2 linked regions of the Schizosaccharomyces pombe genome follow. The protein of the gene in region 1 interacts with the protein of each later gene in a pairwise test. Each region holds a gene or a part of one and is shown in the gene's direction. Other genes may lie near its edges.

The links. The genes of interacting proteins can lie anywhere in the genome.
Region 2: the proteins of ima1 (region 1) and SPOM_SPAC1687.17C interact in a protein complementation assay, tested with the Schizosaccharomyces pombe proteins (one large-scale study listed by BioGRID).

What each region holds. Positions count from the first base shown.
Region 1 is NC_003421.2:1,886,304-1,894,951, reverse strand, and holds ima1 (inner nuclear membrane protein Ima1), read left to right. Parts: upstream 1-4,087; 5' UTR 4,088-4,479; coding exon 4,480-6,327; 3' UTR 6,328-6,849; downstream 6,850-8,648. Other genes in the region: SPOM_SPCC737.04 (uncharacterized protein), read right to left, coding at 1,590-2,855; qcr7 (ubiquinol-cytochrome-c reductase complex subunit 6), read left to right, coding at 6,997-7,410; SPOM_SPCC297.06C (uncharacterized protein), read left to right, coding at 8,298-8,648. UniProt on the Schizosaccharomyces pombe protein: Inner nuclear membrane protein that specifically binds to heterochromatic regions and promotes the tethering of centromeric DNA to the SUN-KASH complex.
Region 2 is NC_003424.3:932,611-939,761, reverse strand, and holds SPOM_SPAC1687.17C (Der1 family protein), read left to right. Parts: upstream 1-3,721; 5' UTR 3,722-3,772; coding exon 3,773-3,819; intron 3,820-3,862; coding exon 3,863-3,902; intron 3,903-3,949; coding exon 3,950-4,015; intron 4,016-4,082; exon of another isoform or gene 4,083-4,093; coding exon 4,094-4,513; 3' UTR 4,514-4,821; downstream 4,822-7,151. Other genes in the region: qtr1 (queuine tRNA-ribosyltransferase), read left to right, coding at 3-132, 187-760, 804-1,314; cohesin loading factor Ssl3, read left to right, coding at 1,655-1,834, 1,871-2,002, 2,043-3,309, 3,391-3,491; C-5 sterol desaturase Erg31, read left to right, coding at 5,808-6,710.

The sequences.
Region 1 (8,648 bases):
CAAAGTTGAATACGGTTCTACGTTTAAGCTTGCTATTAGCGTAGCTTGATACATTGTGTTCAAAGCCGCTGTTAGTTCAAAGAAATTAATCAATGCGTTTGATTCCTGGCTAGGGATGGAACTAGAAGAGCCTGCTAACTTATAAAAAAAATCTTAATTCCAATTCTATTGAAAATTTCTTTGGCTAACTATAATTAGTCCGATGGAAGCAATGTCTTCCCATGATTGCCATTGATTCAATTAACATTATTGCATTTTCAAAAGGTAATAATGCTTAATAAACCCACACATCTAAAAAGAAGTCTTTTTTACCGTGTCGAGAAATGATTTGCCATTATATTGTTTACCTTACAGTGTAAGATAATGAGTAGTTAAGTGGTATTTTGGTGTTCACTATTTGTTGTCCATGCAGTTTGGAACTAATTTAACGATATATAGAACTGCGGCGAGATTTCTAGCGACTTACAACATAGCGGTAAGCGGTATGTTAACTAACAATATTATATTTATTGTTATAAGAAGTCTGTTAGTATCGGTCACCGATATAGCTCATAACTGAACTGTGAAACGAGGTTCAGTAGAAGCTCTATTTACAATCTTACTAATAGTTTTTATCAACGGGTATCTATAATACAATGTAGAGCTTGTGACATATAGAAATACGCAACATGGTGTATCATAGAGTAGTCCAGTATTGCTGTCATTCCTAACAGTCGTTTACTCGTTACGACTTTCATGCTCTCTCTTGTGCTGAAGGCTTGTTTTCTGCTCTATTTTTCATTCAAGACGCTGAAAAGCGAATAGATAGAATGCGATTTAGTTTAAGAGATTTTCGCGGTTCAGGAAAGAAGTTTTCAACATTTTGCAATAGGAATGAATCAGTTCCCAAGTTGAAAGTCATTGGTTTCATTAACTGAGCGTCTCATTTGCAGATATTTCGTTGAATGTCAAAAAGGAAAGAATTAAAGCGATAATTAGTATGCTTTAAAATCCCTCCAATATTTGCAATTAGGAAAATTTTGCCTTAAACTGAATTTCGTACTTTCTACTGCTGCTATAAATGATTATGATCTTTCTGTCTAAAACAACAGGTGCTTGTTTACTGACGCTATACATATCGAGCTTACTTATACATATATTAAGACTTAGGTAAACCGTTTATTTTCACAGCGTCTAAACTGTTTAACGAAATATAGATTTTTAAAGATAAAGCTAGCGAAAAAGGAAAACAGTATAATAATAATAATGAATTATAAGCGGCCATTATCCGAAATGAAATATGAAAATGCAACAAAATAACAGAAAAAAAGAGATGATGAATATAAATACAAAATCGTAAGAGAAGAAAACAGAAGTATGCAAAAATGAGAAATTTAAAGTTGTCGTAAGTAATGGAAAACAGAAAAACAAAAGAAACAAAAAAGCACAGTAACAAAATATTTTAAATTGCCTCGTGCATGACTTAATCTCATCATTTTCATTAATAAAAAGGAAATTCGTGTTAAGACTGCACTAATCTTTTAATTTTTAATTTTTTTTCAATAAACCGAATTTCTTAAGAGAATGCACTTGTGAATATGTAGTATGTATTAAATCCTCATGGGGTATGGGGTAAGATCTGCCTGGAATCCAGCAATGTTATGCCGTAAGTAAAACATTTCTTTTGTTTCCAAGCTATCGAAGCAACCTAGAGGCATGGTAAGATCAAAAAGAGGCTGCATATAACCACTCTTTTTAACATTTTTGAATTCCAATTCTTCGCACACATTAAGGTCCTTTTTGAATTCTTGACGCCATTTTTCCATTACTCGACGCTTGGTGTTCTTTTGAAAAATTTCACAGTCAACCGATCTAGAAAGGAAAGGGCATCTCAGTTCAACAGGCAATACTGTTTCCATCACAGTATTGGCTAGATAATTTTGAATGGGAAACGCACGTGCGTGATTACCTATAGAGAGCATAAACAACAACCATCCAACTTCTTCTTGACTTATCGTTTTGCTTTGGAAAATTGGTTCATTGCTATATTTTGGTAAAGAACTTTTAACACTAACTTCAGGACTCTGCTCCAACTGGATATTGCACATGTAACTTTTGTTGCAAATGGCGGCCCAACTAGTTTGTCCTTGGAATGAATAAACGTCTCCCGGTCGTACCAAGTACATTCTAATATTGCCAATCCGCTTTTGTACGCACCAAAGATGAAATTTCGTGTACTTATTGGAAGTGACCTGCCGGGACACGTAGATGATCATTGCTCTCCATAGGGAGTCCTTCATGTCGTCAGTGTAATAATCGTATAGTAAAACATGTCGAATTAATACTGGCAAGCTATAGTTGCCGGTAGAAAAATGCATCGAAAGGCTTAATCCATCTACTCGATTCTTCTTTAAAAAAGCCCCTAATCGTTTCTGCACCAAAGGCATATCTACTTTGAACTCGTACACCTGTTCCTGCATCGGTGAATATTCAGAAGACACTTGCTCAACACTTTTGAGATATAGTTTATCCTGTCGACGCATAACAATATCCACTAACCCCCCTAAAAACGGATTCTTTATGAGACCTTTATTTCTCCCAGACACTACTACGATACCCAAGCTTTTACCTGTTAAATTCTCGATGGATAGATTACGATCCAACTTGGATAACCAATCCTGACTCGTAACATTAATATTCACATCGCCCGTAGCCTTAGCAGGACTGTTGTACTCGGCTTTGCGAGATTGATAGCCCGGATCCGATTTAAAAAACTGCTGGATTTTCCTTGTAGTCTTTCTCAAGAAAGAGTTTTCCTGACCTTCATCATCAACTTCTCTCAAAATATCCAAACCCGATTGATTAGATATCGACATATTGTCGAATGTCGGTAAAATACTTTGAAACTTTTAAAACTTCGAGAATCGTAGAAAAGAAGAAAAAGGATACCAATATCCAGAATCTCAAAACCACAGTGCGTCCAACTTAAAAATAAAAGGTAATGAAATGAAGTAAAAAAAAAAAATTATTAAAATTTGGTTCTTTCCAAAGGGCTTTGTTTCCTGTTAAATACTAAATATGAAATCGTTTATCTTAGCTTAGCCATTTTGCCATCTTCATCATGCTTTTCCTAACAACGCTCCCCAAGCCACGTAAAACATCAACTTTCGCAACTCGTCCTATTTCAAGTTTACGAAGACATCCAATTTCCTAATCGTCTCTACCCTATAATATTTTGTATAATCATGGTCTAAGCCATTTCATCGTAGCGATGAGCCTCTCGTAAGTTAATTAATGGCGCAGCATATCAATTTTAATCAACTTGTAATAGAATAGAGATGATCATGCTGTCTATTGCTTATAGTTACAAGACTAGATTTCCTTTCTCAACATGCAATAAGGATTGAAAAGTAAAAATGAACTACTTGTATGAAATTTTCGTTTTCGTGCTTAATTCATGATTATGACCTTTTGGAGTCAGTGACATACACCGTTTCCATTGACAGACATTATTGAATTTTTTTTTTACAATGGGGCAACAGTCAATGTTGGCGCAAGCTTAAGATGCAAATGCAATCTTTCATTTAAAAGCGGCTTGTTTCATCAATACATTTGACATTTAACGATGGCTTGTAGGCATTGTTGTAGACATCCACTCAGCCTACATTTTGTCAATACTTTTCTACACAACTTCTCAAACTCGTTCCTTTGTAGCTTAAAAATTAAGCGAACTTAAAAACTATTAAACTTTTTGTTAAACGAATTATTTGCATAAAATACCAAAAAGATTTTTTGTTGACTTTCACCTAACAAATTAAGAGCGGTTGGTTTTATTAAAAAGAAAATTTATTAAGATATTTCTCATTGCATTCCACTTCAATGCGTCGTAGAGCATATCATAAGTAAGGCTCTAAAAATAAGCCACAAACACTGATCGTTCTTCTGGTACAATGGTTCAAATTTTTTTTTTCTAGGAAGCTCGAAAAAGAAAATACAAACAAAAAAAAATTAAACAGCTCATTTCTTCAAAAACTCCTTTTATCCTCAATTTGTTTGAACTTTGTTCTGACAACCCGCTACGAATTGGCTTGGGACCCTGCTGACGGTCGGCCTTTTCCCTATTCTCACCACGAGCACCGTGGGGAAACTGTATAGTCGAAATCTTCGAGTTTTCTTGCTCAACATTTCAAGAAAACTTTTATACTATTCAAGTGTATCTAATTGTTACTTCACTCGTTATTTAGTACTTCTCTTTTACTTTGTCAAGCAGCACAAGTGTTTGATAAAGGTCATTCTGTATAAGGGGTCCTCTGTACCATTACACCTTGTACCTTGATATAAAAGATATTTACATGCATTTTATTTCCGTTAACTCACAGAATATCAGTTGTTTGGTTTTCTTCTTACGTGTGCTGGTTTGACTTGTTGTTTCCCTTTTTTTTTTTAAATTTGCACACACAGGATTCTATGAGAACTTTGCATTAAATGGTATAATGGGAAATGGAATCTAGCCGATTGTTTACACTTGGATTGGGAAATTCCGATGATGGATTGAAATCCACTTTTGGTGATAAAACAGTAACTTGTTTTTATTGCAACAAGAAGAAGGAAAAAATTAGAGACGGAACGTCTACTTGGACTTGCTCAATTTGTGAAGCCACCAACCATATTGATGAGAAAGGTGATATCCTGGATTATCGACCTCCAACCCCAACTCAAGACAAGGGTGTTGGTCCTTTTTACGCGATACGGGATTTCCCAAGCAGTTCTTCCTTTCAGAGCCCCTTTTGTGAAAAATGTCAAATGAACCAACTGATTGTGAATCGGATGCTTGCTGATTATCTGCCAGACTCATCACATCCAGATTATCAGGCTTATGAGAAGGCATTACCAGAGTATAAAAAATCTATAGAAGAGAAATTTCCCATTGTTTGCTCTGAATGCTATGACTCCGTTCAAGACCAACTTGATGCCAATGATTATGAAGCCAAAAATCAGGTTTTAGGATATTGGCTGCAAAAGTCAAAGGAACAGCTAAACGCAAAAGTCCCCCATCACTATCCAAAAGCTTCTTTTGTTCTTTGGTTACTTCGTGGATTTGGTTTTTCGTTTTTCTATTTGCAATCGATTGTGTGGCATTTGTATCATTCTATGATAATAAGCTTATTACCAGATGGTATTCGTAATTTATTTCTAAAAGCAATCTCTTACTTCCTATTAGATGGATCCTCTAGCAAAATTTTTTACTTTAATTGGCTTGGTTTTTTCGTTGTCTTTTGGAACCCGTATTGGTACAAAATGATGGACAATCCATCTTGGGAGCTTTTTGGGCGGGATCAGTATATCCAATGTCAGGCACTTTATCTTATTATCCGTTTAACTTGCTTGTATCTCCTTTCATGTTATGAGTCGGAAATTTTGAACTTAAGCTCGGATACCAATCTTGAAAGTGATTTTTTACTCCGTCAAATACATGCAGCCTTTTTCTTTGTTACCATTTGTTTTACATGGATTAGCATCTCATGTTTAAAGCCAAGTCCTCCTCCAGAAGTTCATTTGACTGGCGAAATTTTGAAACCACGCAAGAAGCGTCAGGAAAGTACATCTTCTGTGCATCGGATAGGAAAGGAATCGAGTGACAGAAAAGATGGAATTAGTGGGCAGAATAAATTGCAGCAATTTGCGACAATTTCAATTCTGAATAATACCAACGCAACGTCTCATTTGGGAAATCAGTCTGTTCGTGAGAGAGCTCCGGAGGAATCCCCTATGACTTTTCTTCAAAAAAAAATGGCCGCCCTTCCAACATCTAGTCCTGTTCGACCGATGCTTAAACCTACTCTTCAGCTTCAAAATTCTCCTTTATCGAAACTGGTTCCTCAAGAAGTGGGCAACAAAGTAAACGATTCTATTCATACGACGTCTAATCAGCCAAGTAAATTTTCCCTGAACCCTTCCATATCTCTAAAAGGTGATAACGTGATAGAGAAGAATTTACCTTTTTCCGTGTCTACTTTAAAGTCCACTGCAAAGAAAGATACTGGTAAAGCAGGGGATGGTCAAAATCGCGAAATTCAAAATGAGCCAGTGAGCCTTGAAAGTCATTTTAGTAAGTCTTTAGCCCTTCAGAACGATCCAACAGAAGTTATTCAGGTGAAAAACGTTCTTCACCGGAATCGTCGAAATGCAAAGCTTCTCATTGCTTTCACAATTTTGTTCCTCGTTGGGTTAATTTGCGGATGGCGTTTGAATCGTTTTACTATGTTCATTTACTATTTATGCATATTGGTGTTAGCCACATATTATGTTATGAAACACAACTTTTATCCTTTAAGAAAGGTGGCTTGATCTGGTTACTATTTAAAGAAGTGGATGCAAAGTAATATGGAATATATTCTTTTGCAAACCAATCATTCATTAATTTATCCAATTTTGGAATAAATTTCGTTACTAATATTGCCAGAGGCGGTTATGTCGCTATCATTTGTTTAAAGTTTTTCAGCTCCTTTCTGGCAACTCGACATATTCGAGCTAGCGCATTCGCACAAATGGGATCCAATATAAATTTACTTTTTTTTTCCTATTAAAGCTATATAATTAAGTATTTTTCATACTAACGAGTTTTATTTGATAAATTTCATTCGTTTCAATAGGTTAGTACTGAAAGAGAACATGTAACCTGAGCAAACTTCTGGTTCATACGAATACTAGCAATGGTGCATTCCCGAATATATGTTAGACACGTCGTTAAATTAGTTTAGGTTATAAAATCGTTAGAGTTAAACAATAACTTAAGAGAAATGAGCCGAGAATACTAGGATATTCAGATTTTCATTACTTTCTAATTCCGCTCAGGATTCTATGTGCAGGTAACATCAGGTGACCGAAGGATTCATTGGCATACTATAGGGCCATGAGATCTTACCTTCTTCCAATATTCAAAACTAAGAGTTTTATTGATTTCAGTGCAAATTTTGTAGTGACGAAATTTTTTTTTGCTGAAGTGATTGTTTAAGTATGAAACCTGTGTCTCTTGCCAAGTATATTCAAAAATCACCATTTTTGACGAAATTGCTTTTACCCATCTCCAATGCCTATGTGCATTTGTCAGGATACCGTAAATATGGTCTTCGATACGACGATTTGATGTTGGAGGAGAATGACGATACTCAAAAGGCGTTATCTCGTTTGCCTAAGATGGAATCCTACGATCGAGTCTATCGTATTCGCCGTGCCATGCAACTTAGCATTGAGAATAAAATTTTGCCAAAATCTGAATGGACAAAGCCTGAGGAGGATTACCATTACCTCAGACCTGTTTTAGCTGAGGTTATCGCGGAGAGGAAAGAGCGTGAGGCCTTCGACGCTCTCATTGTTAAGAAACCCGAGACTCAAGCCCATGCAACATCTTCTCCTGCTCATGCTCATTAAAAGTTTGCATGTCCTCCTTTAATCCACTTATTCCTCTCATGAAAACCGACAAGAAAATTAAAAGAGTAGTAAACGGATGTGAGAATTTTATTTTCTAAGTAACCCCCAACTCCAATTTCTAAAAAGGAAGACAATTTATGCACGTATCTTATTTCATCGGTTATATCAGTCGACAAAGTACGTGGAAACGAAAGTTTTTATATTGCTGTTTATCTGTACTTTGACTTTACTATGTGTGCGATTAATTTTCTACGCCGCTCTGTTTTTGCTTTGCTCTATTTTAACTACTGGTATATCTCCCATCTCTTTGACCTCTCCTCTCTATGCTTTCAGTTTTCATATTTTAATTGAACAACGATTTTTTCTTATTTTTTATTTTTTGTAGCTGCTTTTTCCTTGACTGTTATCTTTGAAAGAGAAACAATTTTTTTGTTTCTTAGTTTCGCTTTCTGAAGATGATTTTGCAATTATTCTCTCGCTGAATCAATTATAGCTAATGGTTGGTATAACATAAGTTAGTGAACAAAACATTGTAAGGCAAACCAACTAATGTAGTATTTTTTTTAAATCGTGATATCAAATTTTAAACTTGTTAAACAGACAAACTTATTTTGAGAAATTTTATGACAGTTTGGCATTGTATTTATTGATTTAATTAAGCTTACTCCTATTTGACTTTAGGCATACTCTTCCTTGTACGACTTCAAGCTCATGAGCTTTTCACTATCTGAAATGTTGTACCCAGAGTCATAATATATGAACCTCCGATCGACGTAAAGTATTATTGAATTTAATTTTATTTATTTCCGCGTTTGTTTAACTTGTTTGAGGAACTTGAAAAATTACAAGAAAATCATGTACAATTTTGTTCGAAATATTTATTGAATATGCAGGGGAAAATCAATTATAAAGACATTACTCAGAAAGAAATGTTCAATGAAATATTTAAAGAATATGTTAAGGAAGAGAAGCAGATCGATTTGGGTACTTGTGATCAAGATTCTGTACACGACCTCTGGCGACGCTTTGTAAAAAGATGGAATGATGGAAAAATGAAAAGTAAATGGTATTCGTTGGGAAAGAGAATATCTCAACCCTCTTATGCTCGTCTTGTAGGTCCAAGTCGACCAACTTTGGAAAATTTACAAGATCGACGAGAATTGCAGGAGCAATTAAACGAGTTGAGAAAGCTATCCCGAAAATCAGCTTTTAAATCGCAAGCTAAAAGGGAGACAGAA
Region 2 (7,151 bases), on another chromosome or scaffold:
GCATGGCTTCCTCATTCCCGGCTTTACAATTCAAAGTCGTAGCTCGTTGCTCTACCACAAGAGCTCGCGTGACTGATATCCAACTTCCCCATGGACTGGTAGAATCCCCTGTATTTATGCCAGTTGGAACACGTAAGTTATTTGATTTTTAAAAGATTATAGACCTTTTAACAAATTGTAATTTAGAGGCTTCACTAAAGGGTGTACTTCCTGAACAATTGGATGCTTTAGGCTGCAAAATTATGCTTAACAACACGTACCATTTGGGATTGAAGCCAGGTCAAGAGGTATTAGATACTGTGGGCGGTGCGCATCGCTTTCAGTCATGGAACAAAAATATATTGACGGATAGTGGTGGTTTTCAGATGGTATCTTTACTTAAACTAGCCACTATCACGGAGGATGGAGTTACGTTTTTGTCTCCAAGAGATGGTACTCCAATGCTCCTTACGCCTGAGCATTCTATTTCTCTACAAAACAGTATTGGCTCAGACATTATGATGCAATTAGACGATGTTGTTCATACACTGACTGAAAGCAAGAGAATGGAAGAAGCTATGTATCGTTCAATTCGCTGGCTAGACCGATGTATACAAGCGCATAAGCGCCCGGAAACCCAAAACTTGTTTTGTATTATTCAAGGTGGTTTGGACAAACGACTTCGAGAAATTTGTTGTCGTGAAATGGTCAAAAGAAATACTCCAGGGATTGCTGTTGGTGGATTATCTGGTGGTGAAGAAAAACACGCTTTCTGCGAGACGTAAGATGGTTTTTTACCTTTTTCTAATCTAACAATATTTTAGAGTTTATACTTGTACTTCTATACTTCCCGATAACAAGCCAAGATATCTAATGGGTGTCGGATATGCAGAAGATTTGGTAGTATGCGTCGCCCTTGGGATGGACATGTTTGACTGTGTTTATCCTACCAGAACGGCTAGGTTCGGTAATGCTTTGACACGCAAAGGTGTAATAAACTTAAGGAACCAAAAGTTTAGGAATGATATTGGACCTCTTGAAGAAGGTTGTTCCTGCCCTTGTTGTAAAACAGAACTTGAAGGTGGATGGGGAATTACTCGTGCTTATTTCAATAGTTTAGTCTCGAAGGAAACCGTCGGTGCCAACCTCATGACAATTCATAATGTCCATTTCCAGCTCCAACTTATGCGAGATATGCGGGAGTCCATTATAAAGGACGAGTTCCCTTCATTTGTCAAAAACTTTTTCCATGAATGGAACCATGGTGATAAGTCCAATTATCCTAGTTGGGCTGTTGATGCATTACGTATGGTAAATATTGATTTATTGGCATAGTTTTGTGAATTTTTTTAAAAAAATGGCTGTTTTGTGTTTTCTAAGGACCGGGTTTTTGGTATAATTTTAGCAATTAAAAACCATTTCGTATAATATATATATATATATATTTTTAATTATTTTAAATTAAGTTAACCTCTTTTATTGAATTTCGTAAAATATTTAGTTTGAGTTTGTTTCGGATTGTAACTATCTAGTAAGACAAAAAGCCAAAATTTATATGTCCTAATATTACTTTAAATTTATTGATTAAAGTCAATGGTATTGTTAATAGTCACTTGCGTACTTCCCAATTATTACTGTTTATCAAACCTCTATTACAATTCACTACCAACATGTTATGACTGGATTGAACGAGACCGATGCAAGAATCCTCGTAACTTCGAGGCATTTGTTTTTATGGCCTTTGGCAGAAACTTATTTTAAAAATGCTGAAAAGGTTCTCCAAGATTGTGGTGTTTGCGATTCTTTTGGACGTTTGCTATCTACAGGATTGCAATGCCTTTACTCTGTTCTAATGGTAATATTTTTTAAAAAGTCCAAAGCTAAATTTTAGGATACTAAAATGGAACCTCGCGTTGAACTACTGACACGAAAACGCATATGTGAAGTTTTGTTAAGCCATACCGTCGAATATGCAGATGTAGAGGCAATTTTGAATCGAGCACTAATCATTGCAGAACAACATGTATGGTAAATATTTAGACGTGCATTATTGACATTATTAGAACCTTACTGAGTACAAGTTTTCATTACAATTGCTATTAAGTCGTGTTTTTTGTAGAACTTCTCCAAAGGCTGCTAAGGTTCTCTTAACTAGGTGTGTACGGGAGGCAGAAGAATATGCAAAAGTTGCAGAAATATACCACTCTAACAATCAATCTAATCCTCATCGATGGGTCTATGAATTCTTACTAGCAACACTCGAATTTCAAAATGTATCTCAAGTTGCAAATAGTATACATAATTATGCAAATCATCATAAACACCAACATCTTCAGTTATTAGCAATGATATTGAATCAGTCATTGCCAATGGATGAGATCTCTACAGACTCTGATCAAATTTCCATTCTTTGTTTGGTAACTCAAATTGCACAGTGCTTGCGTAAAGGTGAGATTTTGCTCGCTCGAGAAATACTTCCCAAAATCCATTCTAAGTTAGAATCAGAGACATTCGTTTGGCCTTCTTCCTATATTGATTTTTTCATTGATGATACTAGCAAAATATCCATCAAATGGATGAGTATAAATCAACTATATTTGTTAATATATCTGATTTCTGGATTTTGTTACATCTCGGATAGCACATCAGGGAGAGCTAGCCGTTTTCTTCAGGAAGGACTGCGGATTACCGGAGACTTTAAACATCAAGAACGGTGTGTGCTAGAGTATTTAGAATCTCAGAAATGGATCAATAATATTACGAAAGACATGAAGTATTACCTTATTGCTACATACTTGAGCAGATCCCGTTTATCTAAGGCCGAAAGGATTTTACAGTCTACTGAAGATGATCAAACTGGCTTTCTTGGTATTTTGAAAGGGATGTATCTGCAAAAAAGAGGAGATTTAAAAAAGGCTGAAGTTCATTACAGAGAAACTGCTAAAAATTTTTCTTTTCGGACAGACACATTTATCATATCTACCCTCAATTTGATCAATATTTTAGAAGACAGTGCTGCCGCCAGTAGATGCTTAGAGTCGATTGAACCGTTATGTAACAAACATGAAAAGAAAATATTTAAACTATGGTTGTTAGTCCTAAAAGTTATTCGAGAAGGTCCCCAAGTGCATCAAAGTAACGTTTTGCCACGAGTTATTCAGCAATCTTCTGAATATGCAAATACCCAATTACAATATATCTCCTTGACGGAATTATCCGAGAGGTTTGGTAAACTAGAACACGCTGAAAAAATGGCAATTTCCGCTTTAGAACTAGCTAAGAAAAGTAAAGACGAACTATGGTGTTTAATTTCAGGAAGGATTTTAGAAGGTATTATTAACGAACATGAAGGAATCCTATCATTGTTTACATTTTTTACTGTTTATCTGCAAAGTATTAACTTTATTTTAGATTTCTACCGAAGTGTTCAAAAATATGACAAGATGCGTCAACAAGCCTTAGAAAATAGTGCGTATTCCAAGTTAATTGAGGATATATACAGCTTTGTTTAGCTGTTTTCTATTCAGCCACCTTACATTTGAGTCTTCAATGTTGGTTTAAATAGGATGGTGATGTAAATATGTTAACATCTTTAAATATATTAATCTATATTTCTTGTATATCGCTGATATTAATTGTTTTTATTTATTTATTTATTCATTAAAATCGCATTGATCCTAACATAGAAATCTCGACAGATCGAACTACTTAATAACTATAAGAAGGTTCGTAGTACATTGTTAACCGAGTACAACTTCTACGAAAAGTACATCCTGGCTAAAATATATAAAAAATGGCAATTTTGCCAGAATTTATAAGCCAAACTCCTCCGGTTACGAGGTAAGAAATGAAATATTGAGAGTACACGCTAATTTTTATGCAGATACATCGTACTTGGAACCCTATTTACAACATTGGCAGTGGTATGTTTACTCAAATTTTTCATAAATGGTATCGCTTACAAATATAGAATTTTGGTTATGTATCCGATCTTAAGATATTTTTTAATTGGAAACTGTTTTTAGCAAAAGGGGAGGTACGGTTTGTGATTGAAGTAATGTTTGACATAACATGTGATTTCCCTAATTCTAGCTTGTTAACAAGATTTATTTAGTACTGGAGGGCAATAACTACATTCCTTTATGTTGGGCCTTTTGGATTAGAGTTGATTTTATATTTGTCGTTTCTACTTCGTTTCATGAGTATGTTAGAAAGATCTAGTCCGCCGCCTCAAACACAGAGCTTCTTAAAAACGGTATTGATAGTATGGTTTTCTCTTTTAGTTACCTCCTATTTTTCCTACATGCCATTTGCAGCTTCTTACTTTTCATTTACCATGTTATACATATGGTCGTGGAAACATCCACTGTACAGAATCTCGATACTAGGTCTTTTCGACGTAAAAGCACCTTATGTTCCATGGGTAATGGTATTATTGCGCTGGTTACGAACTGGGATCTTTCCACTGCTTGATTTAATTAGTGCTTTGATTGGACATGTATACTTCTTCGTTACAGATTTTTCTACAGTATGACGCCTGAAGAGAATAAGAAAAGAAAAAAAAGTAAATAAATACCACACTTGTTTTCTGATTGACTGCTGCCTATTGATTCCTTTTCTATCTTTACAAGTCGATTTCTATTGAGCTTGTGAAAGACTAGGGATGGCGAATAGTCACTGTCTTTTGTTTATCTAAAATGTTAGATGAATGATTTCCCTAATCAAGGGCACGAATAATATTACGAAAATTTCAGGAATTCGCAGGCGTTTCCTGGTTTGCCAAGCCATTCGAGCTTTTCTTGTTATTTCTTAAAACTAAGTAATAAATGTTTTATCTCATTAGTTTTTTTTTTTTTTTTTTTTTTTTTTTTTTTAAAAAAAAAATTGGGCTACAAGCTACTATTTGTATGTTTACTTTATGCGCGAGCAACATTATGATTTCTGAATAATCGCTATTTCCATTTTAAAAGTGTTGTATTTAAGATATAATGAAAATGTAAAGTATGTAAATTATATACTATATTATATGCGAGTATTTCAACATGGGCATGTGGTGTAGATGGTTATCACGCTTCCTTAGCATGGAAGAGGTCCCAGATTCGAGTTCTGGCTTGTCCAAAATTTTTGTTTTTAAATAATTTTATTATTTTACTTTATTTATTTTTTTTTTTTTTTAAACGACTATGTTCTAACTGCGTATTTATCGTCTTAAAACATCAGCAACATATTGCATACTCTTGAGAAATACCATTATCGTTCCTAGACTTACAAATGCAAGTGGATTAAAAAGAACAAAATGGGGGTACCAAATTAGTCCAAGTCTAAGAATAGCAATCTAGCGTAACCTCTAAGCCTTTGAGAACAAACCCGAGATGGAGGAATGTTAACCTTCTTTTTTCAATTTTTTATCTTTCTTATTTAATTTTTCATCTCATTTACTTATAATAGTTTTAAGATTAGATCTTGTATCGTAAAGTTGATTATTTTCGACTAATATATACCCACTTGCTCGATATCAAACATTCATGTCCAACCTCGTTGTACTTGTTGAATAGCGAGCCCCCGTAGTACTATTCCCCCACATAGTAAGTGTAAGAGATTCTTCCCGCCACAGTGATGTCCTTTCCGATCTGCCCTATCTACCTCTCACTAACCGAAGTGTATAAGCCACCTCTTTGTTTTTTGATAAAAACTTTAACGAAAAAGATAACTCGGTTTCCTATTGACTAATTAATAGCAGCCAACTAGATATCGCAATCAAAATCAGACCATTTTTTGGTACTTCTTATACGCTACCACCGGTCAATAGATTTTAAGCAAACACCTCAATGGACTACCTACTCAACTATGCTGACCAATATGCGCTGGATTCGATATACAATGCTGTATATCCATTAGCTCGCGACAATATCGTTAGACAGTCGATCAGTTTGTTTTTTTTAACTTGGTTTGGCGGTATGTTCTTGTATTTAACATTTGCGTCGCTTTCCTACCAATTTGTGTTTGATAAAAGTCTGATGGATCACCCAAAGTTCTTAAAAAACCAGGTGTTCATGGAAGTTCTAACGGCTTTACAAAACTTACCTGGTATGGCGTTATTGACGGTTCCGTGGTTTTTGGCTGAGTTGCATGGGTACAGCTACTTATACGACAACATCAGTGATTACGGTTTAAAATACTTCTTATGTTCCTTACCTCTTTTTGTCATGTTCTCAGATTTTGGCATTTACTGGGCTCATCGTTTCCTTCATCACCGTTATGTATACCCTCGTCTTCACAAACTCCATCATAAGTGGATTATCTGCACTCCATATGCATCCCATGCTTTCAAATCCGCTGATGGCTTCTTACAATCTCTTCCTTACCATCTTTTCCCCTTTTTCTTTCCCCTTCACAAGTTGACCTACTTGGCTCTTTTCACCTTTGTCAACTTCTGGTCCATCATGATTCACGATGGTAAATACATCTCCAACAACCCCATCATCAATGGTGCTGCTCACCATAATGGCCATCACATTTATTTCAACTACAATTACGGCCAATTCACCACCCTCTTTGATCGCCTCGGCAACTCTTTCCGGGCCCCCGATGAGGCATGGTTTGACAAAGATCTTCGCCAAAACGAGGATGTTCTTCGTGTCGAATTGATGGAGTACGAGGCTATTCGTAATGAAGTTGAAGGTGATGATGATAGAGAATACATCGCTAACTCTGCTAAGAAGAACCATTAAACAACATATCTAGACTCAGAAGAGTTTGTCTCTGAAAAGATTTTACTTTTTTTTTTCGTTTTCATCATTCCCATTTCATTTTTCCCCGTTGGTTTTACTCTTTTGGTCACGTATTTCTATTTCTATGGTTGGTATTACATGCATTATTTACCCGCTCTACCTTCAGTTGCTATAAAGGAACAATGTGAGCGATTTTATATATCCTTTGCAAACTTTTTGCTAATTTACATTTCGAGTCTCTTTAGCATTCCCAAGTTTGTTTTTTTTCGGTTTATTCTTTTAGAACGATAAATCCAGAAAATTTGGAAGTCTCGCATCTAGTCATTCACTCCTTTCTTTTCAAATGACTTGTTTTTTTTGCTTTGCAATTTCTTACCACCTCCCTTTTGAAACGTTGTTTGTTCAGTTGGGTTGATTGGTACTATCATCTCACAAATAATT